7 linked regions of the Sus scrofa genome follow. The protein of the gene in region 1 interacts with the protein of each later gene in a biochemical or structural test. Links are inferred from orthologs where the notes say so. Each region holds a gene or a part of one and is shown in the gene's direction. Other genes may lie near its edges.

What was found.
Region 2: the proteins of ERBB3 (region 1) and CRK form a complex in vitro, tested with the Homo sapiens proteins (2 studies listed by BioGRID and IntAct, with this or other methods). The link is inferred for Sus scrofa from reciprocal best matches to the Homo sapiens genes ERBB3 and CRK.
Region 3: the proteins of ERBB3 (region 1) and NRG2 form a complex in vitro, tested with the Homo sapiens proteins (2 studies listed by BioGRID). The link is inferred for Sus scrofa from reciprocal best matches to the Homo sapiens genes ERBB3 and NRG2.
Region 4: the proteins of ERBB3 (region 1) and PTK6 form a complex in vitro, tested with the Homo sapiens proteins (2 studies listed by BioGRID and IntAct, with this or other methods). The link is inferred for Sus scrofa from reciprocal best matches to the Homo sapiens genes ERBB3 and PTK6.
Region 5: the proteins of ERBB3 (region 1) and TNS3 form a complex in vitro, tested with the Homo sapiens proteins (2 studies listed by BioGRID and IntAct, with this or other methods). The link is inferred for Sus scrofa from reciprocal best matches to the Homo sapiens genes ERBB3 and TNS3.
Region 6: the proteins of ERBB3 (region 1) and RNF41 form a complex in vitro, tested with the Homo sapiens proteins (2 studies listed by BioGRID). The link is inferred for Sus scrofa from reciprocal best matches to the Homo sapiens genes ERBB3 and RNF41.
Region 7: the proteins of ERBB3 (region 1) and TXK form a complex in vitro, tested with the Homo sapiens proteins (2 studies listed by BioGRID and IntAct, with this or other methods). The link is inferred for Sus scrofa from reciprocal best matches to the Homo sapiens genes ERBB3 and TXK.

The regions. Positions count from the first base shown.
Region 1 is NC_010447.5:21,492,986-21,495,770, forward strand, and holds the end of ERBB3 (receptor tyrosine-protein kinase erbB-3), read left to right. Parts: coding exon 1-219; intron 220-403; coding exon 404-927; 3' UTR 928-2,055; downstream 2,056-2,785. UniProt on the Homo sapiens protein: Tyrosine-protein kinase that plays an essential role as cell surface receptor for neuregulins.
Region 2 is NC_010454.4:47,682,201-47,686,784, reverse strand, and holds the start of CRK (adapter molecule crk), read left to right. Parts: upstream 1-1,588; 5' UTR 1,589-2,353; coding exon 2,354-2,420; intron 2,421-4,584. Other genes in the region: uncharacterized protein LOC110255905, read left to right, coding at 877-1,073. UniProt on the Homo sapiens protein: Involved in cell branching and adhesion mediated by BCAR1-CRK-RAPGEF1 signaling and activation of RAP1.
Region 3 is NC_010444.4:141,696,120-141,700,242, reverse strand, and holds part of NRG2 (pro-neuregulin-2, membrane-bound isoform), read left to right. Parts: intron 1-3,044; coding exon 3,045-3,216; intron 3,217-4,123. UniProt on the Homo sapiens protein: Direct ligand for ERBB3 and ERBB4 tyrosine kinase receptors. Concomitantly recruits ERBB1 and ERBB2 coreceptors, resulting in ligand-stimulated tyrosine phosphorylation and activation of the ERBB receptors.
Region 4 is NC_010459.5:62,543,195-62,547,976, reverse strand, and holds the start of PTK6 (protein-tyrosine kinase 6), read left to right. Parts: upstream 1-1,541; 5' UTR 1,542-2,523; coding exon 2,524-2,917; intron 2,918-3,171; coding exon 3,172-3,332; intron 3,333-3,850; coding exon 3,851-4,004; intron 4,005-4,479; coding exon 4,480-4,638; intron 4,639-4,782. UniProt on the Homo sapiens protein: Non-receptor tyrosine-protein kinase implicated in the regulation of a variety of signaling pathways that control the differentiation and maintenance of normal epithelia, as well as tumor growth.
Region 5 is NC_010460.4:49,003,449-49,007,571, forward strand, and holds part of TNS3 (tensin-3), read left to right. Parts: intron 1-3,350; coding exon 3,351-3,462; intron 3,463-4,123. UniProt on the Homo sapiens protein: May act as a protein phosphatase and/or a lipid phosphatase. Involved in the dissociation of the integrin-tensin-actin complex. EGF activates TNS4 and down-regulates TNS3 which results in capping the tail of ITGB1.
Region 6 is NC_010447.5:21,621,468-21,626,123, reverse strand, and holds the start of RNF41 (E3 ubiquitin-protein ligase NRDP1), read left to right. Parts: upstream 1-1,534; 5' UTR 1,535-1,733; intron 1,734-2,002; exon of another isoform or gene 2,003-2,312; intron 2,313-4,530; 5' UTR 4,531-4,656. UniProt on the Homo sapiens protein: Acts as E3 ubiquitin-protein ligase and regulates the degradation of target proteins. Polyubiquitinates MYD88. Negatively regulates MYD88-dependent production of pro-inflammatory cytokines.
Region 7 is NC_010450.4:38,044,900-38,049,750, reverse strand, and holds the start of TXK (tyrosine-protein kinase TXK), read left to right. Parts: upstream 1-1,874; 5' UTR 1,875-2,826; coding exon 2,827-2,914; intron 2,915-4,851. UniProt on the Homo sapiens protein: Non-receptor tyrosine kinase that plays a redundant role with ITK in regulation of the adaptive immune response. Regulates the development, function and differentiation of conventional T-cells and nonconventional NKT-cells.

The DNA.
Region 1 (2,785 bases):
CATCAGAGTCATCGGAGGGCCACGTGACAGGCTCTGAAGCTGAGCTCCAGGAGAAGGTATCGATGTGTAGAAGCCGGAGCCGGAGCCCTCGGCCACGAGGAGACAGTGCCTACCATTCCCAGCGCCACAGCCTGCTCACTCCTGTCACCCCACAGTCCCCACCAGGGTTAGAGGAAGAGGATGTCAATGGTTATGTCATGCCAGACGCACACCTCAAAGGTGCCTGACTCCCTAGTCGCTTCCTCAAATCTTTCTCTACTCCTCCTTCTGCAGGCTCCCCTTAATCCTTTTGTCTTCGTTCATCATATCCCTCCCTATTCATTTTTTTCCTAACCGCCCCCAACCCCATTGCCTCTTTCCATGGAGTTCTCCACATACTTAGCTGCTCTTCTCAACCCCCCAGGTACCTCCTCCCGGGAAGGCACCCTTTCTTCAGTCGGTCTCAGTTCTGTCCTGGGGACCGAGGAAGAAGAAGAAGATGAGGAGTATGAATACATGAACCGGAGGAGAAGGTGCAGTCCAGCTCGTCCCCCAAGGCCAAGTTCCCTCGAGGAGCTGGGTTATGAGTACATGGATGTGGGATCAGACCTCAGTGCTTCCCTGGGCAGCACACAGAGTTGCCCACTCAACCCTGTGCCCACCATGCCCAATGCCAGCACAACTCCAGATGAGGACTATGAATATATGAATCGGCGACGTGGTGGAGGGGGTCCTGGGGGGGATTATGCAGCCATGGAGGCCTGCCCAGCAGCTGAGCAAGGGTATGAAGAAATGAGAGCTTTCCAGGGGCCTGGACACCATGGCCCTCAGGTCCATTATGCCCGCCTCAAAACTCTACGTAGTTTAGAAGCCACTGACTCCGCCTTTGATAACCCGGATTACTGGCATAGCAGGCTTTTCCCCAAGGCTAATGCCCAGAGAACATAACCTCTGCTTCCTGAATACCTCAGGGAGCATTTGATGGCAGCTAGTGCCTCTAGAGGGTACCCCTCTTCTCTTTAGCCCCTCTCCCTCACAGGTCTCAGCGCCATTTCCCTAGTCCCAGACAATTCCATTCAAACTTTGGAGGCCTTAAACGTGTTGACACAACGTTCTTGTGGTATATAGCCAGCTGTGCACTTTCTTCTCTTTCCCAATCCCAGGAAAGGAGATAGTTTTCCTTATTTTGTGCTCTTTCCCAATCCTATTCCTCAACTTTCTCAGGGGAACTCCCTGGAGATATGAAGGATTCCTCCCCATATCCCTTTCTCTCAGACTCTGACTTGTTGAGACTAGGCTTTAAAGTGTGACTTTGTTTCCCAGCAGACTTTTAAGGAAGAGGAAAGGAGGGAAAATGGCAGGAGAAAGTGAGATTTTTGGCTTATGATTCTTAACCCCCTAGAAAGAATGAGATGCTTAAAAATCTTGTGAAGAAAGAGGTTGGGAGTATATAGTAATGATTACTGTTCATTGAACGTTGACTGTGTGCCAAGTATCATCTAAACTTACCCATCTCACTTAATCCTTGACACCAATTCTGTGAGCTAGGCATTATCCCATTTTACAAATAAGGAAACTGAGCCTTAAGGAGATTAAGTAAATCAAGTAGCAGGTCCAGGATTCAAAATTTTCCAATGCACCATGCTCTTAGTGTAAGGTGTCAAAGAAAACTGATGAAAGTCAGAGCACTAGTAAGAGGTATTGTCTTCTTGTGTTTGCACTGAATCAAGTCTAACCCCAATATCCACAGCCTCCTCCTACACCTGGACTGCTCATCTCAGCAAGTGGGAGTAAGGGGGTGGACAGAAGGAAAAATAACTGGACATCTCTGTGTAAACCGTAATCTTCGTGTGCTACATATGATATCTGCCTAAGGGACAGACTCAGACGGTCCCCAGAGCCATTTTTTAGGAGCAGTTCTCATTCAGTAGTGGGAAGCTTCCAGTGGAGATGAAAAAGAGGACCCGGCTTCAGACCTCAGTTCCTTTGAATGGGAAACTGGGAGTATCTGTTTTTATCCCTCAAGTTTTTGTTTTGTTTTTATACATGTCTGAATAAAGATGCCAAGGTTTTGCAGCTTCTTGTCTAACGACAAACTTTAGTGAGTGGACAGATCAGCCCTTTTCTCCGTTCCACAGCAGAGAATGGCTACCATGGCATGCTTCCTTCTCTGTCTCCCCACAGTCCTACTTGGCCCCCTGTAGCTTTCTCCAGCCCCACTTTCCTTATAGTCTCTTTAGACAAGCAAAGGGTACAGTCCTTTTCATTTAAGCGTTTTACTAGGAATCTGTATAGGGCAACCGACTAACTGGGAGTAACAAAACAACCAAACAAAACACGTTTGGGGCAGTTAGAAAAGGCCCCAAGAGGTAGAATACTGAAACTCTCAAACGTTTCACAACTTTAAAAAAAAGTGTCCGTCTTAGGTGCCATCAAAGCCTGTTGTTGGAACAATAGTGCCATCTTCAGAGGGAGCCGGCCTCTAGACTTGGAAGGCTGTACATGGATAATCCCACAGAAATCTGGTGCCCAGTTAGTCCCTGCTCCACGCACTCCGGGTCTCCTTCCACACTCGCTCTGCCCCTCCCAGCACCTGAGGACGATCGGACTGGCCAGGCCGGTCCGCCTGCCGCTCCAGGGATCCGAGGAAGGGCGTACCCAGCCTCCCCGCCCTTGATACAATCACCCCCACTCGTCTCTGCTCCACCCTGCCCCGCAGCCTCCAAACCCACGTCCCCGCCGTAGCTCCGCCCCCTTCTCCCTTAGCCCGCCTCCCTCTATTACGGGTTCTCGCTCAGCGCTCCTG
Region 2 (4,584 bases), on another chromosome or scaffold:
CTATGCCTGGCAGGTAAAATTCCCTAAATAAGTGTTAGTTATTCTTATGAGGCAATTATGGAGTGCCTCCTACACTTGATGCCTAGCCTTTGAGGAGATCTAGCATGGAACACGGACTTGTAAATCGAAAGATTACAATACAATGGGTAATACAACAGGTAGAACCATAAGAGAGATAACCTGGGAGTTCTAACACCTGGAGACTGTTAAAAGTTTTACACAGGGTAGCAGCACACTCAGAGCTATAATTGAGAAAAATACAACTTGGCAGATGTGTGCTATGCAATTAGGGGCAGCAAGACTATAGAATACCAGAGACAGGCTGTCATAGGAATACAGATATAGATATGGAATATAGAGATAGCAGTGATCGTGACGGCAGGGAGAGTAGAGGATATCCAAGGCCAGACTTAGAGAATCTGGGCAGATGACTTGAAAGCCTCAACAGAGAGGACTCCATATGTCTCCTTGACTTGGCACACTCTGGTCCCTTTGTCTTGAATGCTTTTCCCCAACTGCCATTCAATATTCAGCTCAAGCCACTGGGAAGTACTCTTGGGTTCCTCTAAAGCATGGATTAGGGGGCCCTGCTCTATGTTCCTAGAGCCCCTTGTCCTTACCCCCATCAAATGGCTTGGCATCCCTTCGTCATGGCCTGTTTCCTGGTTCCTCCCACGGGGTCTGAGAATTCCCCGAGGGAAGGGCCCAGCCTAGATGACCTCTGCGACCGAAAGGCAAACGTGGTGTCAACTGTTTGCTGAATGAATCAGTGAAAACAAGAGCTTAACAGATCTGAAAATATTCAGAAAATATTCGTCTCAGGGAACTCAGGCCCTGAGGCCACATCACCTTTTCTACTCCAATTCTGTCTCCTAGTTGCTGCCCAGAAGCACCGGGCCTTCCAGGAAATTGAAGCCTGGACTAGCCAGAACCGCGTGGCCAACAGCGCACAGACAAACTTCTGCGGACTGCTAGTTGAGGCCCCGCCCCTCGGCCCTAGACGCCGCCTCTCCACTCTCTGCAGTCCCTGTCCCCACCAGGCGGCGACGCCCAAGAGTCCGCATGCGCAGTGAGCGCGCGAGCCGCCCCTTGCCCTTCTCCCAATGGCGGGCGGCAGTCCCCTTCCCGGCATCCTCCCGGAGGCAGGGAGTACGTCATTTCCGGTGGGGAAGGCCCGCGGCCGCCGCCGCCATTTCAGGCGCTGCTGTGAAGCGGAGACCCGAGCCGGTCCGCTGGGCGGCGGGCGCCGGGACTGGAGGGGCGCGCGCGGCGGCGGCGGCCCAGCGTGTAGGCGCGGAGTCGGCCATGGCGGGCAACTTCGACTCGGAGGAGCGGAGTAGCTGGTACTGGGGGCGGCTGAGCCGGCAGGAGGCGGTGGCGCTGTTGCAGGGCCAGCGGCACGGGGTGTTCCTGGTGCGGGACTCGAGCACCAGCCCCGGGGACTATGTGCTCAGCGTCTCCGAGAACTCGCGCGTCTCCCACTACATCATCAACAGCAGCGGCCCGCGCCCGCCAGTGCCACCGTCGCCCGCCCAGCCTCCGCCCGGTGAGGGACGGAAGGGACGGGAGGCCCCGGGCGGGGGTTAGGGCCGCCGAACTCCCCAGCCTAGCCGGCTGCTCCTCGAGAGCTGACCCCCACGAGGGACTTGGGCAGCGGGCTGGAGTGACCGTGGCCGGAGGGCAGCCCGCTGTCCGGCTCGCTCCCACGGACGAGCGGGAGTGTGTGGGGGAGGAGGAGCCGCTGACCCAGGCCTCTGGGTGTGACTTGGGAGGACAGCCCAGGGGAAGGGGAACTGTTTCGGCCCCAGGGTGGGGCTAGCGCCCGTGCAGGGCCAGGCAACGTGGGGACAAAGAGCTGAGGGGGATGTTGGCACTGCGGGGGCATCACTTGGCAGCGGTGCCCGGAATGAATCCGATAATCCTACAAGTGGCTTTTTAGGCTTGAAACATTTCCTGCAGTGTTGGAGAGCCGGGTTTGGCTATACTCCCCTGGTGGCCTTTGGTAGGAAGTCACCGCATACCGGCCGGGAGGGATGGAGACACCCTCAGGAAACCGGTCAGCTTTTTCCTTTCTTGGGCATTTTTCCAAAATACTTTTACCGTCCTCTTCCCCCGCGGAGGACGAAGGTGGTGAGCTAAGTGCCTTGGTTATAGAAGAAAGGTCCCCTGTCACCAGCCCAGAATAAGCTGATGCCCGGCTGACTGTGCCGAGGAGATCCTGGTGTCCAGCGACTGTCTTTGACAATTAAGGGGTTGTAGTTTTCAAAGCGAATAGTGGAGGAAAGAATTTTTTTTTTTTTCAGGAAATAAACCAGATATACGCCAATGGAAACAATCCCTTCCCTGAAAGTGAATGGAACTTCATTTTTCCTTGGACTTCAGCATTGTCAGTCTTATACTGCAGGGTCTCTCCTTGCTCAGTAGGTTGGGGGTTGTTGCCTGAATTTTCCTAGATATGTCTGTCTTATACATAACATGGGCTGTTTGGGGAGTGTGAAGAGGATTTATGCACTTGGTACTTGAAGTTTGTGAGGTACAGAGTAATTCTGAGGCTGTTGTTACCTGTGTAACAGCACCTAGGGTCTTAGTGCCTTTTCACGCTCACCAAGCTGAAGCAGTTTCCTCCTGACCAGTTGAAACTAGATTCAGGCTAGTCTCACATGAATTGAAAGTCTCCTGAACTAGCCCTTTGCAGACTTGCCCTTTTAGAATAATCCTAATTTAGATTTATCCCCTCTGACCCGAAATGGGAAGATGAAATAGTTTCTCTTGTTAACACATACCAATTTTAAAAAGAGTGTGGAATCTTTAAGCCCACAAATTATCCTAGGTCTTTCTCAGTCTGATTGGTTTTATAACATTATAACCTGAGATGGGAATAGGTATGTAACATGTATTTACCCTAAACCGGATGTATTCGAGTTTTTACCACCTTCCTAGTGTCTGGGGTTTTGCGTTGCTGGGCAGTGACACAGCAAATGATCATTGGAACTCAATTCTTGACCTTTTGTTTGTGTATGTGTTTTGTTGGTTACAAAATTTGGAAATGGCAGGCAGTTTTGTTTGAGCTTTCCCCACATCTTGGTGTTAGAACTTTAATCTCAGATCTTACCTTAATACTGAGCTCCACCTTTTCATAACAGATAGGAGGTCAGATCCTTGGCCCAAGAGAGAAGGTGAAGATTGCCAGAGTTTGTGGATGGGGTGTGGAAAGTTCATGGCTATTGTAATTGTTCTTTCCGCCATGTACCCATTTTCCACATAGGGCAATTGATTCAGTTGCGTCTTTTTAAAGATTACTTAATCTTTGTTCTGCCCAGCCCCCATTGAGCTCTTTTTCTTTGGAAACCACACAGAAGAATTTCTTGAACTTAAGCATATACAATATTAATAGCTAACATTTATCGACTGGTCATTCTGTGCCAGGTACTTTGCTGAGTACTTTAGTGCCTTGTCTCGTTTACTGTCTATGACAGTCTAGTGAGGAAATTACTGTGATTTCCATTTATTAAAATATTTACATTTTAGGGAGTTCCAGTTGTGGCTAAGTGGATTACAAACCCTACTGGTATCCATGAGGATGCAAGTTTGATATCTGGCCTTGCTCAGTGGGTTAAGGGTCTGGCTTTGCCATGAGCTGTGGAGTAGGTCTTATTTGTGACTCAGATCCCTAGTTGCAGTGGCTGTGGCATAGGCCAGTGGCTACAGCTCTGATTTGACCCCTAGTCTGGGAACTTCCTATGCTGGGGGTGCAGCCCTAAAAAGCAAACAAAACAAAGCAAAATTCCATTTTGCAGGTAAAGAAACAGGGTCAGAAATTCAGTAACTTGCCCCAGGTCACACAGCTAGTCAATGACTGAGCCGGAATTGGAACCTAGGAATTGTGACCTGAGATCAGACACTATTGGACTGTGTTCTTTTTTTTGTCAAAGCCAGTTTCCTTTTGAGATCCCTTGAGGACTGAACACTTTTGTCATTGTCTTGGGTCCCAGGTTCTGCTTAAAGACCAAAAGGAAAGGATGACAAGAAAATGGCCTTCAAGAGTTCCCGTTGTGGTGCAGTGGTATCTATGAGGATTTGGGTTCAGTCCCTGGCCTTGCTCAGTGAGCTGGGCATCTGGCGTTGCCATGAACTGTGGTGTGGGTCGCAGAGGTGGCTCCGATCCCACGTGGCTGTGGCGTAGGCCGGCAGCTATAGCTCCAATTAGAACCCCTAGCCTGGGAACTTCCATATGCTGCGGTTGCAGCTCTAAAAAGCAAAAAAAAAAAAAAAGAAAAAGAAAGAAAGAAGATGGCATCTGCTGTCTAAAGTCAGTGATGCTGAGGCTTTTAATAACCTTTTTTGGCAGATTGAATGTGGGAAATAAGCTTTTTGTTTAGGATTATATAATGTATTTTGTGGATATAGGCATAAGATGAATTTGGATGGAATGTCTTAGATAGAGATTTTAGAGGCATAGGAACAGAATAGGCCAGGAATTCTCAACCTTTTCCTGTAAACCCATTTTTAGCTTAACTGTTTAGCTCTCCCAGGCTATCAGTGCTGCCATCGCCTGGAGGTGCCCTTACTGCTCCAGGGCCAAAG
Region 3 (4,123 bases), on another chromosome or scaffold:
CATACATAAACCAACATCCAACACCAAAAAGGGTTAGCGGTAGGAAACCGGGGCAAAAAAACCCTGTCACAAAACATGAATAGCCTTAATATTTAGAAAGGACTCTACAGATGATCGAGAAGACGAGCACCCAATAGAACACCAGTACAGACAAGAACAGGCAATTCACAAAAATAAGCCGACACACTTCTGAAAAGCGGTCAGCCTCACCAGGAGTCAAATACATGCAAATCCAAACAACAAAGAGGCGTTATCTTTTGCCTAGTTAATTGGCAGAGATTGGATGCATGATAATATCTGGCGTTGGTAAGGGTGTGGAAAAAACAGGCACTGTCATTCACCGGTGGGAGTGCAAATTGGCGTGACCTTTCCAGAACGCAATTTGGCAACGTGTGAAGCCAAGGGAGACGGCGTGCGCTTCTGACACAGCAATTCCACTTTTAGGAAGACGGCCTTAGGAAATAACCGTGCAGAATAATAATAGCCAGCCTGTATTAAATGTTCGGTGCCTGCCAGGCTCTACATGCCTTATCTCATACGCTCCTCACAGCCGTCATCTCATGAGGTCAGGGCTGCTTTTGAATCACTTGTGGGTTTTTTTTTTTTTTTTTTTTAAACAGATGAACAAATGAGGCCCCAAGGGATTAAGACAATGATGCAAAGACACAGAGCTAAGGAGTAGCAAAGTCTGGATTTGAACCCAGGCACTCTGAGTCAGGAGCTTCCATGCCCGCACAGCCGCATACACTGAACATGTGCAAAGGATAGTGTGCACGGGTTATTTACCCTGGATGAGGCTGCAAGGAGGGTCCAAGAGACTCGTTTGGAAGGGGGAAGGGGTGGCAAGGAAGGGGAGAATGTCAGCTGAAGGCCCCACCATAGGAACTGGTTACATAAATTATGATGCACCCATATGGGAATAGTATGCAACCCTGAAAAGGCTACAGAGGAAAAAATGTCAATACTAGCGGGGTTTGTCTAGGCATCGAAGATCTCTGAAGGGGTAGAAAAGAAAACCGGTTGCCTCCTGGAAAGGCGGCCATGTGGCTACAGTCACAAGTCAGGAGACTTGTTTTTAAGCCATATGTACCCTTTTTCACTTCTTGAATTTGAACCATGTGACTATGTTATCTGTTAAAATTCTCTCTCTAAATACATACGTTGTAGAACTTGTTTCCCCCATAACTATTTCCTTGAGATGCTACTAAGGGTTCCCCCCAAAAGCTCCGAGACCTCAACTTGGAGTCAGGCTGAAGTCCATCAAGACAGTTGAGTCTGTCCCCACATGTTCCCCCAACTGACAGGCTTTTTCTCAAGTCATCATTTCTGGACAGGGATGTCCTATCGAAGTTGAGGAGACATTAATACTGAATATGCCAACTTGAAAGGCTTGCAGTGTTTCATTAAATGAAAGGAGCACGTTACTGGCTTAAAAATAGGCGTGTGTGTGGGGGGGGGGTATTCTGCTTGTGAGACCTGGGATAACGGGTGGCTTTGTTTTCTTTTATCCATCCATGTTCCTAAGGTTTCTAAAATGAACAAAGTCACTTCGCAAGTACTGTATTTTGAGTCTACGTATACTTTTAAGCTTTGGGAGCCCCTTCTCCCCACACCCCCCACTCTCATCACCTCCCCACTCCAAGCAGCAGCACTGGGTTTGGCTCAGGGAGGGGCCCGCAATCCAGAGCCGGGCCCTCTGTCCTGTTTTCATCCAGAGCTAGTTTGGGCTGTTGCTCTGGGCTGCTGGGGGAAGCACCAGGGGCCTAGATGGGGCCAGTCGGTCCTCAGACACCCCCCTGGCCACAGCTTCACCTCGGCCCTCTGTTCCTTAAAGAGAGGCTTCAGGGCTGCAGAGGCAGATGCCAGCCTGTCCTGAGCCGGTACATCGCAAATCCCGACACTTGGGCATTGTTCCCGGCTCTGTGGTTGCCTGTGTGACCCTGGCCAAGTTTCTTGACCTCTTTGGAGTCTCCTCTTCACCCTCCTGTCAGCAGGGACATCTGCCTTCCAGAGCTCAGGGACCAAGGGAGAGCATGGGAGGGCCCCGGGCACCCCCCTCGAGGCCGTCCCGGGGGAGGGCACCATCGCACCCTGCCGTCACCTTTCCAGGAACCGAGCACTTTTTCTTCCTGTTTTTAGGTTGCTGGGGGATAGGGAGCAGGAGGTGAAGCAGGAGGTGAAGCAGGGGAAAGCAGGGCACATGGAAACAGAACGGTGTTCGAGTGGGAGAAGCCCCTTAGCTCGGCATCTGCAGCCCTGCAGCCCTGCAGCCCTGCCTGGGCCTCGCCCACCAGTGTAGCCCAGGCTCCGTCCCCGCCCAGCCACCCCGCTTCACCCCTTCAAGGCAGCCCCCCCTCCTCCAGACCACACGTGATTCTCCTAAACTGCAGCGCTGACCCTGCCGAGCCCGGCCCCCTCCCTTCCCCTTCTGGCCCAGCCTTCAGCTCTTAGCGGAGCGAGCGCTTCTGTCCAGCCTAGGCTGGGGCCACTCCTCAGGGCGTCAGCAGCCCCCCGCCTCCATCAGCCACGCTGTGGTGTCAGTGCCGGGGTCCAACGCCCCTGCCAGACTGAACTTCCTGAGGGCAGGACCCGTGGCTGTATCCCCTGGGCCCAGCAGAGGCTTAGGGTCTTGGGCAGGGGTTAGATCGTGAGTGCCGTAGTCACGGAGACCTGGGTTTGAATCCCAGCTCCATCACCTTGGGGAAGTGGCTTCACCATGCCGGGCCACAGTTTTCCCCATCTGGAAATGGGTTTGATCATCGCAGGGAACTCTGAGCGTTATTTTATCGGCTCAGGTAGAGAGCGCCCCGGGTACCATTTGAGGCATGAGGGAACCCACAACCCCAGGCTTAGGGAGGTACCCACCCCGACATCATCACAGACGCTCTGCAAAGGCTTGCCGATCTAGACTAGGAAAGGACGGCAAAAGGGGGGCCCCCAGGCTCCCCCCTTCACCTCCCCCAAGACAGTGGACCTGCCTCAGCTGCTCATGCTTGGCACTGCCCCCCGCCACCACGCTCACCTCCCGCCTTGTACCCCCACAGCCACCCGGCCCAAGCTGAAGAAGATGAAGAGCCAGACGGGACAGGTGGGCGAGAAACAATCGCTCAAGTGCGAGGCAGCAGCCGGGAACCCCCAGCCCTCCTACCGCTGGTTCAAGGACGGCAAGGAGCTCAACCGCAGCCGCGACATTCGCATCAAGTACGGCAACGGCAGGTGAGCAATGTCCCTCCGTCCCCCCCATCCAGCCGCCCTCCTCCTTCCTGGGAGGGGCCTGAGAGGGAAGAGCCCAGGCTGTGCCCCCAGATCCACCCCGGAGCCTGTCCCAGTCAGTACCCCCTCATCTCCACGCCCCGTTTCTCCTGGCAGCTCCAGTCCCTCAGGGGACATTGGCCCCGTGTCTTGCAGGCGGTCATTGCTTCATTCATGTCCCGGGATGGTTGGAGGCGATGATGTCATTTTTAACTGTGGAGGTCCCCCTCTTATCCCCAAAACCTCTCCGAGGACCTGCCAGTGTCTCAGAGCCCCACTGGGCAGCCTTTGGGGAAGGACTCGGACTCCAGAATGTTTCTGGGAGGTCACATATGAGGAGAGGCTCAGCAGGCGGTCAGGGGGCAGAGAGCCAGGTTAAGGGGGAAGGGCCATGGCTTTGGTGCCAGCAGAGTCTGTGTCTCAGACAACCCCGCACCCTGGCACAGGAATCCTCCTCCTCTTTGCTGGCTGGGGGAGCGTGGCCCGCCGTCTGCTCCCTGGGCCCCGACTTCCCTCTCTGGCTGGGCACCCCCAGCCTTTCCTGCCCCTGTAGAGGAGCTGTCATTTCCTCAACCCCCCCAAAATGCAAATGAAGATTTTAGAGGACCCCACCCCCACTGCCACCACCTGCCCCACGTCAGCAAGGGATGGAAAGGTGGTCTGGGCTCAGGCTGCTCCCGGTTTGCCGTGTGGCCCGAAGCGCACCCACCCTGCCCTGAGCCTCAGTCTCCCGAAACTTTAGAAGAGGGGCTGGGGAGGTGCTTCCAGGTTGACTCGTTCCAGTAACGGGGAGCAAAAACAGGACTGGTCACCCTGGAGGGCAGTCTAGGCAAAAACAAAGTCATTTAAGAAGGGTCTGCTTGTGCTCAAA
Region 4 (4,782 bases), on another chromosome or scaffold:
AGGGGGCTGGGACCCTTGGGTGCAGACAAATGAATCCCCAGGGACTGCTTAGAGAACAGAGTCTGTGCCAGGTTAGAGAAATTGGGGGGGGTGCTTCCCAGAGGGGTGGGTGGGGGCCACCATAGGCAGAGGCAGCCCAGGGGGAGCAGGAGGGGACAGGTCACCATCCCCCTGGCCTGGGTGGACAGTGGGGGCGGGAGGGTCTGGCCTGAGCCTTTAGGCCTGTGCCTCGACCTGCCTCCGTCCTGTCCTGGGAGGGCCCAGAGCGAGGGCTGGAGCCAGACTCGCCTGGTTCTGGGCGGTTCCCAGACCACTGGAAGGGATTGCTCTCTCTTTCCTGGGAACCATGGTGTGCGGGGCCGGGCTGGCGGGCGGGAGAATGCCCTGGGCGGGGAGACAGGACAGGTGCGGTCACTGCTCCACCCCTGGGCCGTCTCATGGGCTCAAGCTCAACAGGTTTGGTGCTGGTGTCCTGGGAGGGCTCGGACCTTGGCCTTGGAAACTTCTGGCTTCCTGGTTGGTGTGGGCCCACGGCTCCCAGGCAGGGCCAAGGCCTGAGGGGCAGAGCACTCTACTCACAGTGAAGGGTGGACTGCGGTGGGGGGGCCTTGGAGCCCAAGGGTGCCGAACAGCTCAGCCGGCCCTTCTGTCCCTCCCCTTGGGCCTGCCCCTCCTGCTCAGACCTGAGCAGGCTGTGCACTTCACTCATGAACCTGAGACATACCCTCCTGATCTCAAAGTGAAGGGATCGGTGTCCCCACGCTGCTCAATAAAAGCGAAAGCGCCAATGAGTAGGGGCCGTATGATGTGAAGTCCCCTCAGCCCTCAAGGGGCTGGAGGGTGGGGCCAGGTGCCGCGGGTGAGGAGCAGGAGAGGCAGCGCCTGTCTCGGCGTCCAGCAGAGACTCAGCTGCCAGCTGGCTGTCCCTGGGTCTGGCTGTCTCCTGGGAGGTCTGGGGCGGAGCGCCTTGGCCCTGGTCCTCCAGCCCCGCCTCGCCCCCTGGCTGAGCGCTCACCAGCCTCCTCTGGGCAGCTTTCCCACAGCAGGCGGGCAAGAGTGCCCAGCCTGACCTGGCCCAGGCGTGGGGGGATGGGTGGGGGCTGTTGGGGCCCTCAGGGCAGAGCCCAGGGCGCTTGGGGAGGCCATCCTTGGTGGCACAGGTGTGGCTGGCCCAGCCACCTCATCACGAAGGTGGGTGGCGGCTCAGCGGGGCGGGGACGGCCTGTCAGGGTCAGCCCTGCCCACGGGCTCCTCCCAGCCAGGGCTGCCTGAAGCTGGACGGGTGAAGGTGGCAGGGCACCGGCCATGGGGTCCCAGGGCCAGGCTGCCCTGGGCCCCAAGTACATGGGCCTCTGGGACTTCGAGGCTCGGACGGCCGAGGAGCTGAGCTTCCGGGCAGGGGACCTCTTCCACGTGGCCAGGAAGGAGGAGGAGTGGTGGTGGGCCATCCTGCTGGACACGGCGGGCCAGGCGCTGGCCGAGGGCTACGTACCCCAAAGCTACCTGGCCGAGAAGGAGACAGTGGAGTCAGAGCCGTGAGTGTCCCTGTGGCCCTTGGAGCCTTTCCAGGTGGCCCTCTTGGGCTCAGGGCAGGGTGGCTGTTGGGACAACTCTACCCCTGTGGCTGGGCTCCAGGTGGGGACAGGGGCACCAAGCTGGCCAAGGATGGGGCCCATGGATTTGTTTCCCTGTGCCCCTCCGTGGGGCTGGACCTTCCCTCCTGGCCTTGGGACCCCTCACTGGGCTTCTGACATCTCCAGGGAGGCCACAGCTGCCACGCAGTCACCTGCTGGTGTCAGGACCCAGGGGGCCGCCTGCTGACAGTGAGGGGTCTGCACAGGAAGCCGAGGCCGAGGCTGGGCCTTTGTTGGAGCAAAGCTCCACTCACCTTCCAAACACACAAAACCAGACTGGTGGCCTAGTCAGAGGAGCCGGGAAGGCCATTGCGACACGCCCGCCCTGGGTGTGGGCCACGGACGTGCTCCCTGTACCAGCATGGCTGCCCCATCATGGGCAGGTGGCTCTTGGTGGGCGGGGCCATAGGGCAGCCGTGTGCCCAAGACCCATTGCACCCCATCCCCTCCTGTGCGCTCCTTCCACTGGGCGCCTCCTGAAGAGAGAGCAGCAGACAGGACGGGCCAAGCCCTGGGCAGTGATAATGCAGGGGTCAGAGCCATTGCCAAGGCCCTGAGGCCTGGGGACTCAGCACATTCGAGAGGTGCGAAGGGGCGGGAGGCTGGCGGGGAGAGTGGATGGGAGCGATTCCAGAGGTGCTGGACCAGTGGGGGTGGGCATGGCCCGCGGGCTCCGTGCCGGCCGTGCCCTCCCCCGGGGCCCACGTTCTAACGGGACCCTGGAGTGGGGAGTGCAGAGGGCAGAGCACGGAGGCAGAGGTGTCCGGGGAAGGACCGCAGGCCCCAGCCTGCCCTCCGGAGTCCAGGGCTTGTCCCTGTGCCGGCTCTGGGGGCGGGGGAGCAAGGGCGCGTGTGGCTGCACCGTGTGGGTGGGTGTGCGCGTGGGTGCATGTGGGTGAGTCCCAGGGAGCCAGAGCACAGCACCCAAGGTTGGGGGGCTGCTGTCCCCACAGAAGGGGGTGGCTCTGTCCCCAGAGCCAGGAGACACCAGGTAGTGTCCACTTCTGGGTCCCCAGGGCCACTTGGGACCCTGGGGGGTCAGTTGAGGGGCAAAGAAGGGACCTTGGGGTCAGTGAGTGTCTGCAGGCAGCCATGTGCCAGCGTTGGGCAGGGCGGGGGCACAGCCAAGGTCTCCGAGGCTCAGGACCCCCCACCTCGCAGGTGGTTCTGCGGCCCAATCTCTCGCTCAGAAGCCTCACACCGGCTGCTGGCCGCAGGCGTCGAGCAGGGGGCCTTCCTGGTCAGGACCAGCGAAAAGCCTGGCGCCAACTACGTCCTCTCGGGTACTCCTCCTCCACTGCAGCCCCCCGCCCCCGCGCCTGAGTTGGGGGCTCCCTTCCTGCAGGCAGAGACCCCCCACCCCCGGCCCGGCTCCCCACTGCCCTGGGCATCTGGGACCTGCAGGCCCTGCCCGGGGAACTCTGATCCCTCAGTGGGTTGGGTGGGGTCGGTCTGGGTTCTCTCCGGTCGCCGTTGGGGCGCCCCCCCCGAGGGTGGGCTGCTCTCTGCCCATTCACGAGCGGGCCCCCCCATCCAGTGCGGGACAGGCAGACCGTGCGGCACTACAAGATCTGGCAGCGGGCCAGCCGGCTGCACCTCAGCGAGGCCGTGTCCTTCCCCAGCCTGGCCGAACTCGTGGAGCACCACAAGGCCCAGAGTCTGTCCCACGGCCTGAGGCTGACCTCGCCCTGCTGGAAGGTAGGGCCCCTGCCACAGCCAGACCCTTGCCTCCCCCCCCAGGCTTCAGCCCTCTCTCCTCAGGCGCCGGAACCCTCGGGTGGCGGTGGGGGTGGGTCCTGACACCCCGACTGACTGGGGACACAGCCTGGGGACGCTGGCTGCCTGGGAGCTGTGACTGTGCAGAGCTGGGGGTGGGCTGGGGACGTGCCCCCCCTTTGCCCAGTCACTGTCCCCGGGGCCAGCCAGAGGTCAGCGGAGCTCTTGCCACGCCCTAAGTCTCCAGGCTGGTGGGTGCCTGGGGCCAAGGGCTGGACGGGAATTCTGTACGAGTGGCACTCAGGCCAATGTCACTGGCCCAGAGCAGGTGGGGGGGGGTGTGTTGGCAGGCATTGGCCAGGCCACGGGCAGCCCCCAGGAGGGCCAGGGCCACACATCCCAGGCAGAAGGCGGTCCACACTTGAGGACAGGCCAGCGGCTGTCCGCCTGCAGGGGTTAGAGTGGGGCCCCCCTGAAGGGCTGGCCCTGTGCCCCTGCAGCATGAGCCCGAGCCCCTGCCCCACTGTGACGACTGGGAGAGGCCGAGGGAGGAGTTCACGCTTTGCCGGAAGCTGGGCGCCGGCTACTTCGGGGAGGTCTTTGAAGGGCTCTGGAAGGACAAGGTCCGAGTGGCCATTAAGGTGATTGCCCGAGGTGAGTGCGCCCCAGGCCGGGGGCAACTGGCCTCGGCCCCGGGGTGGGGGGCCCTGCGCTCCGAGCCCCACTCGCCACCCTGGCTTGGACCATGGGGCACCTGCTGCAGCTGCTGGCTTTCTTTCACCTGAATGCATTTACCTTAAAAGGGAATTTCAAATTCTTAATGTAAATGAAAGGAACGCCATTAAAATAGGTCTCTAGGAATCTGAAGAGGTTCCCCGCAAACCTCCCAGGGGCCCACCCCCTGCAGGAGCCGGGGCCGGGGCTGCAGGGAGCTAGTGCCGGCTCCCCAGCTGGCTGGGCCAGGTGTGAACCAAGTGACGGTACTGGTGGTGCCCAGGGCATTGGGCGGGCAGGTGGTGGGCACAGAGGACCCCACGTAAACCGTGGGGACCAGGCTGTGTGCCCTGCGTCAGAAGGGGGGCCCGGGTGTCATGGGGGCACTCATTTCCTGAGCGGCCTCCCCCCGCAGACGACCTGCACCAGCACGCATTCCAGTCGGAGATCCAGGCCATGAAGAAGCTGCGGCACAAGCACATCCTGCCACTGTACGCCGTGGCGTCCCTGGGGGACCCCGTGTACATCATCACAGAACTCATGCCCAAGGGGAACCTGCTGGAGCTGCTGCAGGGTGAGTGGCCACGGTGCGCCCGGTTTCAGAGATGCCAAAATGGCAAGTGTCTGTGCTCAAGGCTAAGTGGCCTCCGGTACGCATGTGTGTGCCTGGGCGTGTGTTTTAACACGTCCATGTCTGGAGTGCTTTCCACGTGATCGC
Region 5 (4,123 bases), on another chromosome or scaffold:
AGATTGGCATTTTTTTTCCTCAGTATTTTATCTTGTTGCACTGTTTTTTCTCTTTCTTCCTTAACTTTTCTTTTTTTTGAATAAGAAATCTGCTGTTATGCTAATGGTTGGTCTCTTGAATATAATGTGTTCTTTTCCTCTTTATATATATTGTTTTTTCAGATTATTTTCCATTATAGGTTATTATAAGGTATGGAGTATAGTTCCCTGTGCTATAGTGTAAATCTTTGTTGCTTATCAGTTTTATGTATAGTAGTGTGTATATCTTAATCCCCAACTCCTAATTTATCCCCCGTCCCTTTCTCCTTTGACAACCATAAGTTTGTTTTCTAGTCTGTGAGTCTGTTTCTGTTTTGTATATGGGTTTGTTTGTGATTGGATTTGAGCAATGTGATTATCTTGCATTTTGGTATAGTTTATCACATTTGTTATGCTTGAGGTTTGTTGAGTTTCCCAGGCTTGTGATTTTATAGTCTTCTTCCTATTTTGGAAAAGCTTCAGCTGTTATTTCTTCAAATATCCCTCCATCCACTCGTCCTCCTTCAGAGGCTGCTTACTGATGCTCTGTTTATTTCCTAATTTACTTAGATGGTCTTTTCTCTTTCTGTCCTTTATTTTGGGAAGTTTCTATGGTGATATCTTCAAGTTCATTCATCTGTTCTACTGCAGTGTCTAATCTGCCAGTAATTGCATCCAGTGTATTTTTTTATTTCAGATTTTACATTTCTTGTATAGATGTCTGGTTTGCATCTTTTTATACCTTTCCATCCCTACTTACCTTCTTGAACAAATGAAATCCAGTTATAATTCTTCTCTTAGTATCTTGTTTGCCTATTCTTGTCAGTTCAGGGCCATTTTTAATTAATTTATTATTCTCACTGTGGATTGTGTATTCCTCTGGCCTTGTACGCCTCCTGCTTTTTGATTGTATACCAGATAATTTGTTGATTGGATAGCAGACAAGGTGAATTTCACCTTATTAGGGTGCTGGATATTTTTTTGTTCCTCAGATATTCTTGGGCTTTGTTTCTTTTTTCCCCAGATGTTCTTGGGCTTTGTTCTGGAATGCAACTAAATTACTTGGAGGTGGTATAATCCCTTCTAGATAGGCCAGGCAGAACGGGAGCAGTGCTCAGGTTAGAGTTAATCATTTCCCATGATTGAGGCAAGGTGCTTCTGTGTCTTCTGTGCTCATACTCCCTGCATCTTGAGGTTTTCTGGTCTGTGTGTGGGAAGAGGCACCCTTCCCAGGTCTGTGGGAGCCCTGAGCTCTGTTTCCGCTAATCCTCTCTGGTGGTTCTTTCCTCCCCCTTAGGTAGCTTCCTCAAGCACATGTGCATGCACACACACCCACACACACACACACACACACACACACACCCACACACACCCCCCTCAGGACTGTGCTGAGCCCTTCCACAGATCCTGGGTTCTGCGCAGCTATCTGTTCCCTGCTGCTCAGGCAAGTAACCTCTTGCTGGCTTATTCTGCCTAAACTTTTCATTCCTTTGCTTCAACCCATGTTGTGCACTGGTTCCCCCTTCCTTCTCTGCATCCCAGAAACTTTCTCCAGGTAGGAATTTGGTGCCATTATAGCGCTCACCTCATTTTTTCCTGCCTCTGAGTTTCTAGATAGGTTTGTTTGCTTGTTCATGAACATCCAGTAAAGCAAATCATTCTGTGTGCTCTTGAGTCGGATGTCTTTCATTCAGCAAAATAATGCCTTTGATGTGCACCCACGATGCTACATGTTCTACATGGACTAGTAACTTGCTCTTGTGTACACCCGAAAAGCATTCCATTTTATGACTTCTGTGGTTTGTTTATCCAGGCTCCTTTTGATGGGCATTTGGGTTACCTCTTGTTGGGGGCATTTTTAAATACGGTGGCTTTGATGATTTTTGCAGGTGTCTTTGTGGCCATGTTTCTTATTTATCTTTTTTTTTTTTTTTTTTTGGTCTTTGTGCCTTTTCTAGGGCTGCTCCCTCGGCATATGGAGGTTCCCAGGCTAGGGGTCTAATCGGAGCTGTAGCCACTGGCTTACGCCAGAGCCACAGCAATGTGGGATCCTAGCTGCATCTGCAACCTACACCACAGCTCACGGCAATGCTGGGTCCTTAACCCTCTGAGCAAGGCCAGGGATTGAACTCACAACCTCATGGTTCCCAGTCAGATTCGTTAACCACTGCGCCATGACAGGAACTCCTTATTTATCTATTTTTAAATTTATTTTATTTTGTCTTTTTAGGGCCACACCCATGGCATATGGCAGTTCCCAGGTCAAATCAGAGCTGCAGATGCCAGCCTCTGCCACAGATCTGAGCCACATCTGTGACCTACACCATAACTCTTGGCAATGCTGTATCCTTAACCCACTGAGTAGGGCCAGGAATCCAACCCGAGTCCTCATGGATACTAGTCAGGTTCATTACTGCTGAGCCACAGTGGGAACTCCCATATTTCTTTTTCAGTGTCTGTGAGAGAGGAATTGCTGGGTCATAGCATGGGTGTAGGTTTAAAAATCTGTACAAAAAAATTGTCAAACTATTTTCCGAAGTGCCGTTTGTCTCCTGTTCTGGGTAACATTCCATCTCCTTGGGGAATTGTAACTCTCTGGGGGTGAGCAGTGGCCTTGTGCATGCATGGCGTACCAGTCATCACAGAATGAGCGCACTGTCACCCATCAGCTAATGGCAGTATGGCTGGTGTTTGGTTTCTAAGGCAGATTGAATTTTTATAAGCTCCTCCGATGCAGCTGTGCGCCTTGGCACAGCAGACTTGGGTTTGGTGGCTGACTGTTTCGTCTCCTCCCAGTGCCAGTGTGTGAAATGGATCCGATGCTCTACCAGGTTTAAGAAGGAACTGCCTCTCTTGTCACCCCGGACTGGTGACCACTCGCCCTTCCGTATATCTGTTCAGAGGGACTAAGGGGCCAGAAAGGCCAGTCGGCCGCCTCTGAGCACCATCGTGTTGTTTATAATTGTTTCTTCCGGAGGAAAAAGTGTGAAGAAGGGGGATGGGGGGCACAGGGTGGGGGAGATGGGGCGGGGGCACGGGGTGGGGGTGCGTGTCACAGAAGGGATGGTTGTAAGCGACAGTCTGGAAGCGCAGCACGTCGTCACGGAGGCCTGGCTGCCCTTCGCCCCCTGGATTACAAGCTGGGCGCCTGGGGGCCTCCCTCGGGTACCCGAGCCCCCCGCCCCCGATCCCGGCCTTGGCAGGGTGGTGTTTTGTTCTCCTCTGGTCGCCTGGTCAGGTTCCTGTTGCGGTGCTTCCCCAACTCCGCCGGAAAAAGGAAGAGCAGGTGGACCGAATGGAAGCGCTGAGCCTTTGTCCTTTTCCTTTTCCAGCCGGAAGAACTCACGACGAGTCTGCACAGTTTTAAGAACAAGACCTTTAAAAAAGCCAGAGTCTGCGGGGTTTGCAAACAGATTATCGACGGTCGAGGGCTGTCATGCCGAGGTGAGTCCTTTTTTTTTTTTTTTTTTTTTTTTAAATTGCTCCATGAATTTTATTACATTTGTAGTTGTGCAATGATGGAGGTGAGTCTTCATTTACCGTTCTCATGCTGATGAAATCAAAGCAAACGAAAAACCAAAATGAACCCTTCTCTTGGGGAGTTTCCAGAAGTTACTAAGTCGTGGAATTCCCCCTGTTAGCCTGACTTTACCCCGACCGACCGTCGCTAGACTGGGACTGCCCTACCCGCACAGATAGGTGCTCCTGAGAGATCATTCCAGAAAGAGCAAAGCTAGTCGAACGGGCGAGGGAGCAGCAGCAAGGGGTTCCTGACTCATTTTCCGTCTGTCCTGGGGTGTCAGTAGCTCCGGTTTATTCTCTTTTACTTTCTGATCTCGTGGCAGCGTTGACAGATGAAATTTTTCTTCTCTCTCTATGAGTCAGGGTTCCTTGTACCCCTGCCCTTCCAGCCTGTCGTCAGGCATCGCTCCTGTCTGTAAACAAAGCCACCAGCTTCAGTATTTAGTGCTTAATCCTCAGGTAATCAATGCAACTTGCTGTTTTTTTTTTTTTATTTTGTATGGCCGCATCCGTGGCATATGGAAGTTTCTGGGCCAGGGATGGCATCCGAGCGTCCCCTGCGGCAATGCTGGATCCTTTAACC
Region 6 (4,656 bases), about 130 kb from region 1:
TAAGATTTTTCTCTCCTAGACCTGACACAGTGGAAAAAGAACCAAAGGTTTTTGGAATTCGGCGGACGAAAGTATGAAATCTGGCTCATCACTTCTTTTCTCGACAGTTCTTAAATATGATTGCATCTTGCAGACGAGAAAACGAAGTTATATAAAAAGCAGTGCCTAGCACACAGCAGGCAGTTTCCTCCTGTTCTCCAATTTCTCTAACCTGCATCTTTATTTCTGATTTAGATTCCTCATCTTTCATGCATTATCCAGCTTGGTCAAGGTCTCTGGAGAAAGTCGCACTCACACGGGAGACAATAGACACACACCCACATCCTTTGGAAGTAATGGAATTGGGGCACAGAGAACAACATTTGCATTAGTCCCTCACAGTTTGATCAGTTTTTTTTTTTTTTTTTTTTTTTTTTTTTTTTTTTTTTTTTTTTTTTTTTTTTTTTTTTTTCGGCATATTCCAGGAATGGCTGAGCCACCAGAGCAGCACGCAATCGAGGCGTTGCACCACCTCACCAGTTTGCAAAGGAATCAGTTTCTAATGGACACAGTTTCTAATGCACTTATCTCACTAGATCTCAGGGTCCCCCCTGAGGGCTGAAGAAGCCCTAATCTGTAGTTTCCTTTGAGACTTGTTTCATAATCAACAAAAGGTAGCTAGCTCTGTAAAGTGTATAAACCAATCACATATAAACAATGTACATACATGTGTATTACTATTTGCTTAGAGAATATCCATAATAAATACTGCTTAATATCAGATTAGCCTAAGAGGCTATATGATTGTAATGCTTTGGTTTGCTTAATCAATCCCTTACCTTCTCCTAGAGGGCTTTAGACTCCACCTTGACTTTCCTTGGAGCTCAGGTTCTCTCCCTCCCACACCCCCAGCCACGGTGTTGTACCCTAAGGAAATCAAACCACAACCCCAGAAGAGGAGCATTTTATCTCCCTCTCTCCCCTTAGGTGTTTCAAGGAACTGTACGAGCGTTCGGAAGGTCGACGTAAATACCGCAGGAGTGTAGCTAGGAGAGGCAGGCAACCCGCTGAGCACCCTAGATCAAAGTTTTCCGATCAGACACTCCCTCATTCCCCACCCCGTGGTCGCCTTGTTGACTACAGTATCCATTCCCATGACTATGAGTCATAAGATCGGCTCCGGGATGCTGACCACAGCTCTGGAAACGGGAGAGGGGCCGGGCAGACGGCAGGTCACACTGCAGGCCGGCCTCCTAGCGACGATCTCGCACCAAGCCGCATCAGCTTTAGGGCACGGAACCGGTGCACCCTTCGAAATAGAAGTCTCGCGCTCCGGGAGAGTCGGCCTCCAGCTCGGCCCCCGACTTTCAAGCACGGAAGAACATAGAGTCCTTCCTCCCAAATGGCTATACAGTTCTCGCTGGGACCATAAAGACTTCCGGTGTGGAACGGAGGCCTGGCTAGCCCTCACTCTCCTCGTTGGCCGCTCGTGGTTTCTAGCCCAAGGCTGAGTTAAACAAAGGGGCGGGGCTTGGTGACGAGTTTCCGCCAGGTTGCGTAGCAGCGGTGGGCGGGGCCAAGGCTCAGTCTCACAAGGCGACGAGTGGTCGGAACCTTATCCCCTCTCCTTCTCCTTCCCCTTCCCCTTCCCCTCCCAGGATAGGCTGGCACCCGGCACCAGGGTTATCCCGTGGCTGCTGCGGCCTCAACTCCAACGGGTCGGGGCACGGAGAGTCCAGACCGCTTCCAGGGCGGTGCGTACGGCGCCTGCGCAGGCTCCCACCTAAAGGAGGGCGTGGGAGGGGAGGGGGCGATGTCCCAGGGGGATTGGGACCGGGGTTCGAGATTTTGGAGGTCAGGCGAAGGGACGGGAGTAAAGATGAAAAATGGAGGAAGGGAGGAGTCCAGAGGTGGTAAAGGAGCGCTGGAGGGTGCCTTGTTGGGGAGGCCCATTGGAGTGTGGGAGCCTTAAGAAGTACGAGAGGGGGCCTAGGCCGGCTGGAGGACCGGGGGGGGGGGCCGGGATTTGGGTGCACAACGTGGTATTTAAATGGACAGTGATTGACGGGCCGGAAGGGTAAGCAGGGAACCATCTGGGGGACAGCCTGCGCAGGGGCGGTGGAACCTGAACCCCCGCCCTCGAAGCGCCATAGCTTGGCTCCTCTCCCATGCCTTGTCTTTGGCAGCCTTGTCTTCCTCCTCCATTCCTTTCCCCTCTCTCCCTCCCACCCCTCCATGAAGGAATCTCACATTCCTTACATCCGTGACTTGAGTTTGCAGCCAGTCCCTCTTCGCGGGCTTCACACACCAGAAAGCCTTCTCCAAGCCAAAGCGTAAGAGAAATTGAGGAGTGAGGAGGAGGGGGCTGGAGAAGGAGCAGAAAGCTGAGAGGGGTGAGGGTGTTTGGCATTGGGACAGACAGACATCTTCCCCATTCAGAAAGTAACTTCATTCCACCTGGTAGCAAATGTGGCTGTTAATGAGACCACTGAGCCACTGTCCTTAGGGACCGGGCTGTGATAGTGATAGTCTAATCCCTTTCTATACAGGTGGTTTTAGTCTGACAATAGAACAAGAAGCTGATAGTGTTGCAGGCTGATAGTTTTCCCCTAGTTAGGAATGGGGTAAGACTCATGGAGGGAATCTGAGTGTTGCAGTAATATTACTGCCCTGTGTGTCCAGCCGACTTTGCGGCTGTGGCGGGTTCCCAGTATTGGGGAAGAAAGTTTCTTTCAGGCATTTCCTCCTGGGCCTCATGGGCCGTCTGAATTTACTTGGCATTCTATTACTGCAGATATCTTACCTGAGAATAAGTGGTATTCAGTTTCCTTTCACATTTATTATGTCATTTGACAATATGTAAGGTAGGTAAGGCAGATATCATTTTCCCTATTTGAGAAGTGAAGAAATTGCAAACTACAGAAGTGTTACATGGCTTGTTAAAAGTCGTATAGCTGGCAGAGCTGGGACCAGAACCCAAGTCTTCTGACTCTTGGTCCTCCTCTTAATTGAAAAATCCTGTTTTGTTCTGGTCAGGGGAGCAGTAGAATAGGATTGGTTTTCCCAGGATTGGTTTTCCCAGGGTGGATAACTTTGCTTTCTGAGTCTGGGCCTTGTCACGACTAGACAACAGCACAGGTTCCTGGAGACATTTCTCGAGGTACAGGTCTATATGCCAGGCTGCTGGGAAATAGGTTCTCGCCAAAATGGAAGCAGTATTATACTGTCCTCTGTATTATGGAGGGGGAGAGGCATATCAGCTTCCCCCTTACCCCCAGCTGCAGGGCAGAGAAAAATGAATCTGGCATTGCACCTTTATCTCTCTGATTTTATTTATTTATTTATTTATTTTTTAGGTCCGCACCCATATGGACGTTCTCAGGCTAGGGATAGAATCGAGGCTGCAGCAGCCAGCCTATGCCACAGCCACATGAGATCCAAGCTGCATCTTCGACCTGCAGGATCTGAGCTGTGTCTGCGACCTACACCACAGCTCACTGCAAAGCTGGATCCTTAACCCACTGAGCAAGGCCAGAGATCGAGCCTGCGTCCTCATGGTTACTAGTCAGATTGGTTTCTGCTGAGCCACAACAGGAATTCCTCTGACTGGTTTTAAAACACCACACTAACATGTTATGGCTGATGAGCATGTATACCAGACTTAAGATGAAATGGTCTGTTTTATGCATAAAAATTGTTATCTTGGAGTTCCCTGGTGACCTAGCAGTTAGGAATTCAGTGTTGTCACTGCTCTGGCTCAGGTTCGATCCCAGGCTTCTGCACGCCTCGGGTGTGGCTGAAGGAAAAAAATCATCATTCTGTTCCTTCCTAATTTAGCCCTTCATCTTGAAAGATGTAAAGGTGAGGAAAGGAATGTAAATAGTTTCTAGTCTCCTGCATCTGAAGCCTTGTCTCTCTCTTCTTGGTTTCATCCTTTTAGTAAGGAGAGTCTGGTTAGCCAAATCATACTGCTACCTACAGTCTTCCCAGTTGTCTACCCTGCAATAATTTCCTGATTTTTTTTTTTTTTTTTTTGAAATCTTGATCCCTCTCAGGAGTATTTCCTGACTTAGAAAGTAGAATGGCACCTGTGCCAACATTCTTGAGTATCTTCTTATGAAGTAGTGTTTTCCAGGTGGAGAGTAGGACAGAATTCTTTTTATATGAAATAATGTATGGGAAAGCACTTTGGAAACATTAAAGCATCATGGCTCTGTGTGTTGTATAGCCAAAGATTTGGACTCCTTGACTTGACTTGTAGTCGTGTGCCCTGAACAAAAGAATGGTTTTCTATCTCAAACAGCTCCTTTTCCCTCCCTTTCTTCTTGTCTCTTTCTCGCCCCCTCTCAGCTTTGTTTAAAACATCTGGCCCCTGCGTGTGATTCCTTAGCTGATGAACTCTCTCCTTAGAGGGTAGCCCTGAAACCTCTAGTCCCTAATGGACTTGTCTCTTTCTCTTCAACCGACCCCCAGATCCAAGTCTGTCTCATCTCATTGCCAAGTGCAGGTAGTTCTCCTGACTCACCTTTTCTTCCTTGTTCCTATTAATAGAGCGCTCCTGATTGTGACATCACATCCATCCCCTTGGCGATGGAGCTTGTCACTAGGAAGGAAGACTCAGTCGGAGAATAGCCAACAAGATGGGTTACTGGGAGCGTCTCCTGAGTGGCACTGAGT
Region 7 (4,851 bases), on another chromosome or scaffold:
TTGCTCTGGAGGCCATGAACCCCCCTCCCCGGCCACGCTGTGGGGTGTTGTGTGAACACCATAAGTAGTTCTTAGGTGAAAAAGCTACTTAATGACCAGTAGCAGGTTGTTTTGGTCAACAGCATCCTACCGAGCATCCCCCAGGAACAGCTAAGGTGGCTAAACCACAGTGCGCCAAGGAAACAGCCCACAGGGGGGCAAAGCTGGGTTCAGGAATTTAACCCCCTGGCTCCCCAGCAAGGAACAAGCCAGAACATGGGTGCCTGGCCTCAGGGTAGCACAAATACTATTCCCTGGCTGCCTATTTCCTCCAAGACTCCCTGCAGGCCTTAGTACATCAAAAAGGCAGCTCTGTGGGCTGTGTTTGAAGCACTGAGAGTCTTATCCATTTATGTGGGACCCAAAGAAAGCTGGGTACAGCAGGACTTGATCCCACAGGATTTATTACAGCTCTTGCTTTCCAAGAATGAACTGAGGCCTCCACACTGGATTTCCTTTTTTTTATGTGACATACTCAAGGCCACTTCCTGTACCATCTTCAAGCCTCATTAACAAGGGAGGGGTTCCTCTGTTACACACCAGGTTGTTGGGACGCAGACAGCATGTCCTCTAGGGTGACGTTCCCTTTTCCTTTTTTTTTTTCCGTCTTTTTTTTTTTTTTTTTTGCCCTTTTTAAGGCCGCACCCATGGCATATGGAGGTTCCCAGGCTAGGGGTCCAATCGGAGCTGTAGCCACCAGCCTACACCAGAGCCACAGCAACGCCAGATCTGAGCCACATTTGTGATGCACACCACAGCTCACGGCAACACCAGATCCTTAACCCACTGAGCAAGGCCAGGCATCGAATCCGCAACCTCATGGTTCCTAGTCGGATTCGTTTCTGCTGCGCCACGACAGGAACTCGGTCCTTTTCCTTAGTTTACACTGAGGATTTAGAGGTGAGGGCAGGCAACGTCAAGGTGAATGACCATCTACCTCTTTTGTTGATTGCATTGGCCTGAATACTGGAGCAGTGCTACCAGAGCCATTTCCTTCAATCAATGCTTAAATGGCCAAAAAAAAAAAAAAAAAAAAAAAAAAAAAAAGTATACATGCTGCATTTATAGAAAATCAAAACCTTTTGAGGAACACAAGCTGTGGCTGGCTCTTTCGAGCAGGACCTTCACATGACTGTGGAAAATCATCTTTCCATTCTGGTCAGTTCATCCCCTGAAGGCTGTCTTCTGTCCTTCCCTGTCCCCCCTTGCAGTAGAAAAAAAAAAAAAAATGTATCCTAAGTCTTGTCACAGTCTGTCACCTTCCTCCTCGTCTTCCTGTTGAAGTGTACCCCCATCACAAAAACATGCCCACCTTCTCACTGAATTGCTGCTCATTCAAGGAGCTGGCCCTGTGCGAGCTGTGTCCTGCTGTCATTGTCCTACTTTTCTCCTTCCCTCCCTCCATCACCTTGACGCCTCCCGCTCCTCCAACCATCCTTCCCTTCCAACCTTGGGACCCTGTTTAAAGTGCTGGAGGCTTTGAAGAGAGAGGAGAAAGCATAGCCCTTGACCTAACAGTTACCTTTAATTTTTTTTTTTTTTTTTTTTTTTTGCTTCTTAGGGCTGCACCTACAGCACATGGAAGTTCCCAGGCTAGGGGTTGAATTGGAGCTGCAGCTGCTGGCCTATGCCTCAGCTCATGGCAACGCCAGATCCCACCCGAATCTGCAAATTACACCACAGCTGGCAGCAATGCCGGATCCTTAACCCACTGAACGAGGCCAGGGATGGAACCCACATCCTCATGGGATACGAGTCGGGTTCATCACTGCTGAGCCACAACAGGAACTCCTACCTATACTTTTTTTTTTTTTTTTTGGACACCCCCCATAGCCTGTGGGAGTTCTAGGCCAAGGATCGTACTCGCACCACAGCAGCAACGTGAGCCACAGCAGTGACAAAGTTGGATTGTTAACCGCTAGACCACCAGGCAAGTCCAGTTATATATACTTTTGATGGGAAAACAAGATCAGATGTTTCCTGGCAATGTTTGGAAACATTTTCTTCAAACATCTTCAAATATTTCACTGGGACCTGAAAAAAAGTGTTTGTATAAAACCATTGCTATGGCAAAAGGAGAAGTAAAAATAGTATCCACCCAGAGTGCTTAAAAGAGATCTTAATCAATAAGGCAGGAAGTAGGAAGGGCACTGTGAATCTGCTGTGTCTTCAGTACAGCTGTTGCCTTTAGTTTTCGTTACTTTCTGGTTATTTTTCAGTGGGATGAAGTGAAACTCCTATGTGTATTTTTATTGTTGATAATGTTTTGTATTTCTCGGCCACGCCCCTGTCACCTGGGGATGGATTGGTCCTCCCTCCTCCCCGCCCTCCCCAGCAAACTTTTCTCCTATGATGCCTAAAGTGTTACTGCTGGGTGGGGGGACAGGAGGGTGGGAAGACAGAGCATTCTAGACTTGCCGATTCCAAACCTAGCATCGACTTCTGTCTCTGCCGCTAACTGCGTCTCTTAACCTATCTGTGCCTCCGTTTCCTTCTCGGTCCAGAGAGAGCACTTTGAATTCATGCTCTTTTTTTTAAGGTCCCTTTTGACCAAAATCTGGTGATTTCTTGAAAACGGTGTTGCTGGAGTCACCCACACAGTTGGGAATGAGGAGCCTGCTAGCTGCTGCCTTCAGAGATCTGGATGGAGATTACTGCGTTTACCTCTTAAATAGGCCATCGGGCTGCCATTCACACACTTCTCTGAGGTTTTCAGAACAGGAAAATAGGTGGGGTTAACTTGGCCCATGAGAAACATCTTGGGCGAGCTATGATTTCAGTTAAAAGATGTGTTTTTGTGACGGGAGCGCCGCCGAAGACCTGAGGGCTGTTCTGTCTGCTCCCCGCGCAAGTGCAGCCATGATTCTCTCCACCTGTAAGTAAGGCGGCCCCGTGCTTGATCTTCTGGGCTTCTTCTGGGCACAGCGCTGACTCTTGAATGCCAGAAATGATGAAACTTGGAAGATCATTTCCCCAGATGTTGCGACAGGGTTTTGATTGTTATTGAAAGAACCATACATAGTGGGGATGTCCTTTTAGAAAAGGGTCAGCATTAAGAACGCACGATACAATGAGATATAGTGCCCTTAAATCTACTTGTATATAGAAATGCGATCTATCGGAAAAGATTTGTATTTAGAATATTTCATATAAAGAACTGAGGGCGGAAGTCTTGGAGACCAAGTTCTCGTTGGGAATGTGCTGCGACCTTAGTGGGTCACCTTTGGTGACTTCTTTTATAGCAGGTCCCCACCTGCACAATGGGGACTCTTTTGGCCAACCCAGCAGCAAGATCTTATAGAGAAACAATGCGTTAAACATGACAGGTCCTTCATGAGCTTAATTTTGGAGCTGCTTTGGAAGACTCTTCAGTCACCTGTACAATTTTTAGAAATGCTTATCAGTGTACCTCTGTGATTCAGAGAGCTTTATCGTGCAAATAAGTTAAAATTGGGAAGAAAAAGACTGATTCTAATTCTGAATGACTCGCTGGGACCAAGCTTCATCAAAGCTCAGTCATGTCAGACTAAAGCCATCAAGGCCAGCTGAGAAAAGTTTTTGCAGTTCTGATTTTTAAGTGGCGTTAGGGAAAATTTATTGCAATTTTTAAATGTCATCTGTTTAAGCCTCACCACCTCATCAGACCCAATTTTTATTTATTGCAAAAAATAAAGCAGGCTCTTCCACTTGTACTTGCCTGAATTAGAGCTTACACTCTGGATCCACACATGAATAAAGATAGGGCTGCCTGTAAACAGAAATATAAGGCAAACCGAGCAGAAAGAGCTAAGACACAGCAAGCCCTGTCCGCCCATACTCCAACAGCAGGACTTAATAAGAACAAAGATGAGCAGTGACTTAATAATAAGAACCTTTCCATGAAAAGCCAACTCCTGAGGTCAGAGCTAGAGAAAAGGCTGTAAATGATGACAGGAAGGATTCAGCTATATATAAAATAAGTAAAGGTGAGGATTGAGACAAGGATTAGATTGCCCAAAGAACTGAATAAGAGACCACCTCTTAGTGGGGAGATTTTGAGCATCATTCTCTCTGGCCCGGAAGGGTGGGGGCTTAATGAACTCTCACTGTCCCTTCCAGCTTCTGATAATTTGACTCAGTGCTAAGTATCACTCGTTTGCTTTCTGCCATAAATTGCACTTAGATGTGGCTCCGTTTCCTTCTGGGTGAAACAGTGAGTGTTTACTGTTGACAAGAGAAAGCCAGGAGGTGCCCCACGGTGCATTAATGCAAAAACATTTATAGGTGTTTGCCCAGCTAGAGTCATTTGGGAAATACCTTGGTTGTTGTAAGGGCTGTCATAGAAGTCTGGCCTCGCAGGCTGTGGCAAGGCAGGAGGAGATCACTGTGGCATGTGAGATGTTGATGGTACTGACTGGTGGGCAGAGCCTGTGGGAGGTGCCAGGGGACTGCTCCAGGGAAGGTCAGGTTGTGAAACACAACTGGTCATCTCTCCCAACTTACAGCTGCTCTGAGAACAGACCCCACCTGGGAGAATCATTTAGGGGATGGGGCCCAGGGAGAAGTGCTGGGGGGCTCGAAAAGCTGACCACCTCCCTCCCCTCCTGATTTCTCCATCGTTTCTTCCCAATGAATGAAGTAGAAGGACAAATAATAATTAACTGGCTTGTAAGTCTTAGTGTGCCCGAAGCGTGGCTAGGATACTGTTAAAATGCAGTTTTTTGGACTCATCTCCATCACTGGGTCTGGAAGGTAAGCTAAGAATGCACAGCCTAAAAGTTGAGAGCTAAGTTTTATTTGGGGCAAAATTTGGACTTAGGAAGTTCTCGTCGT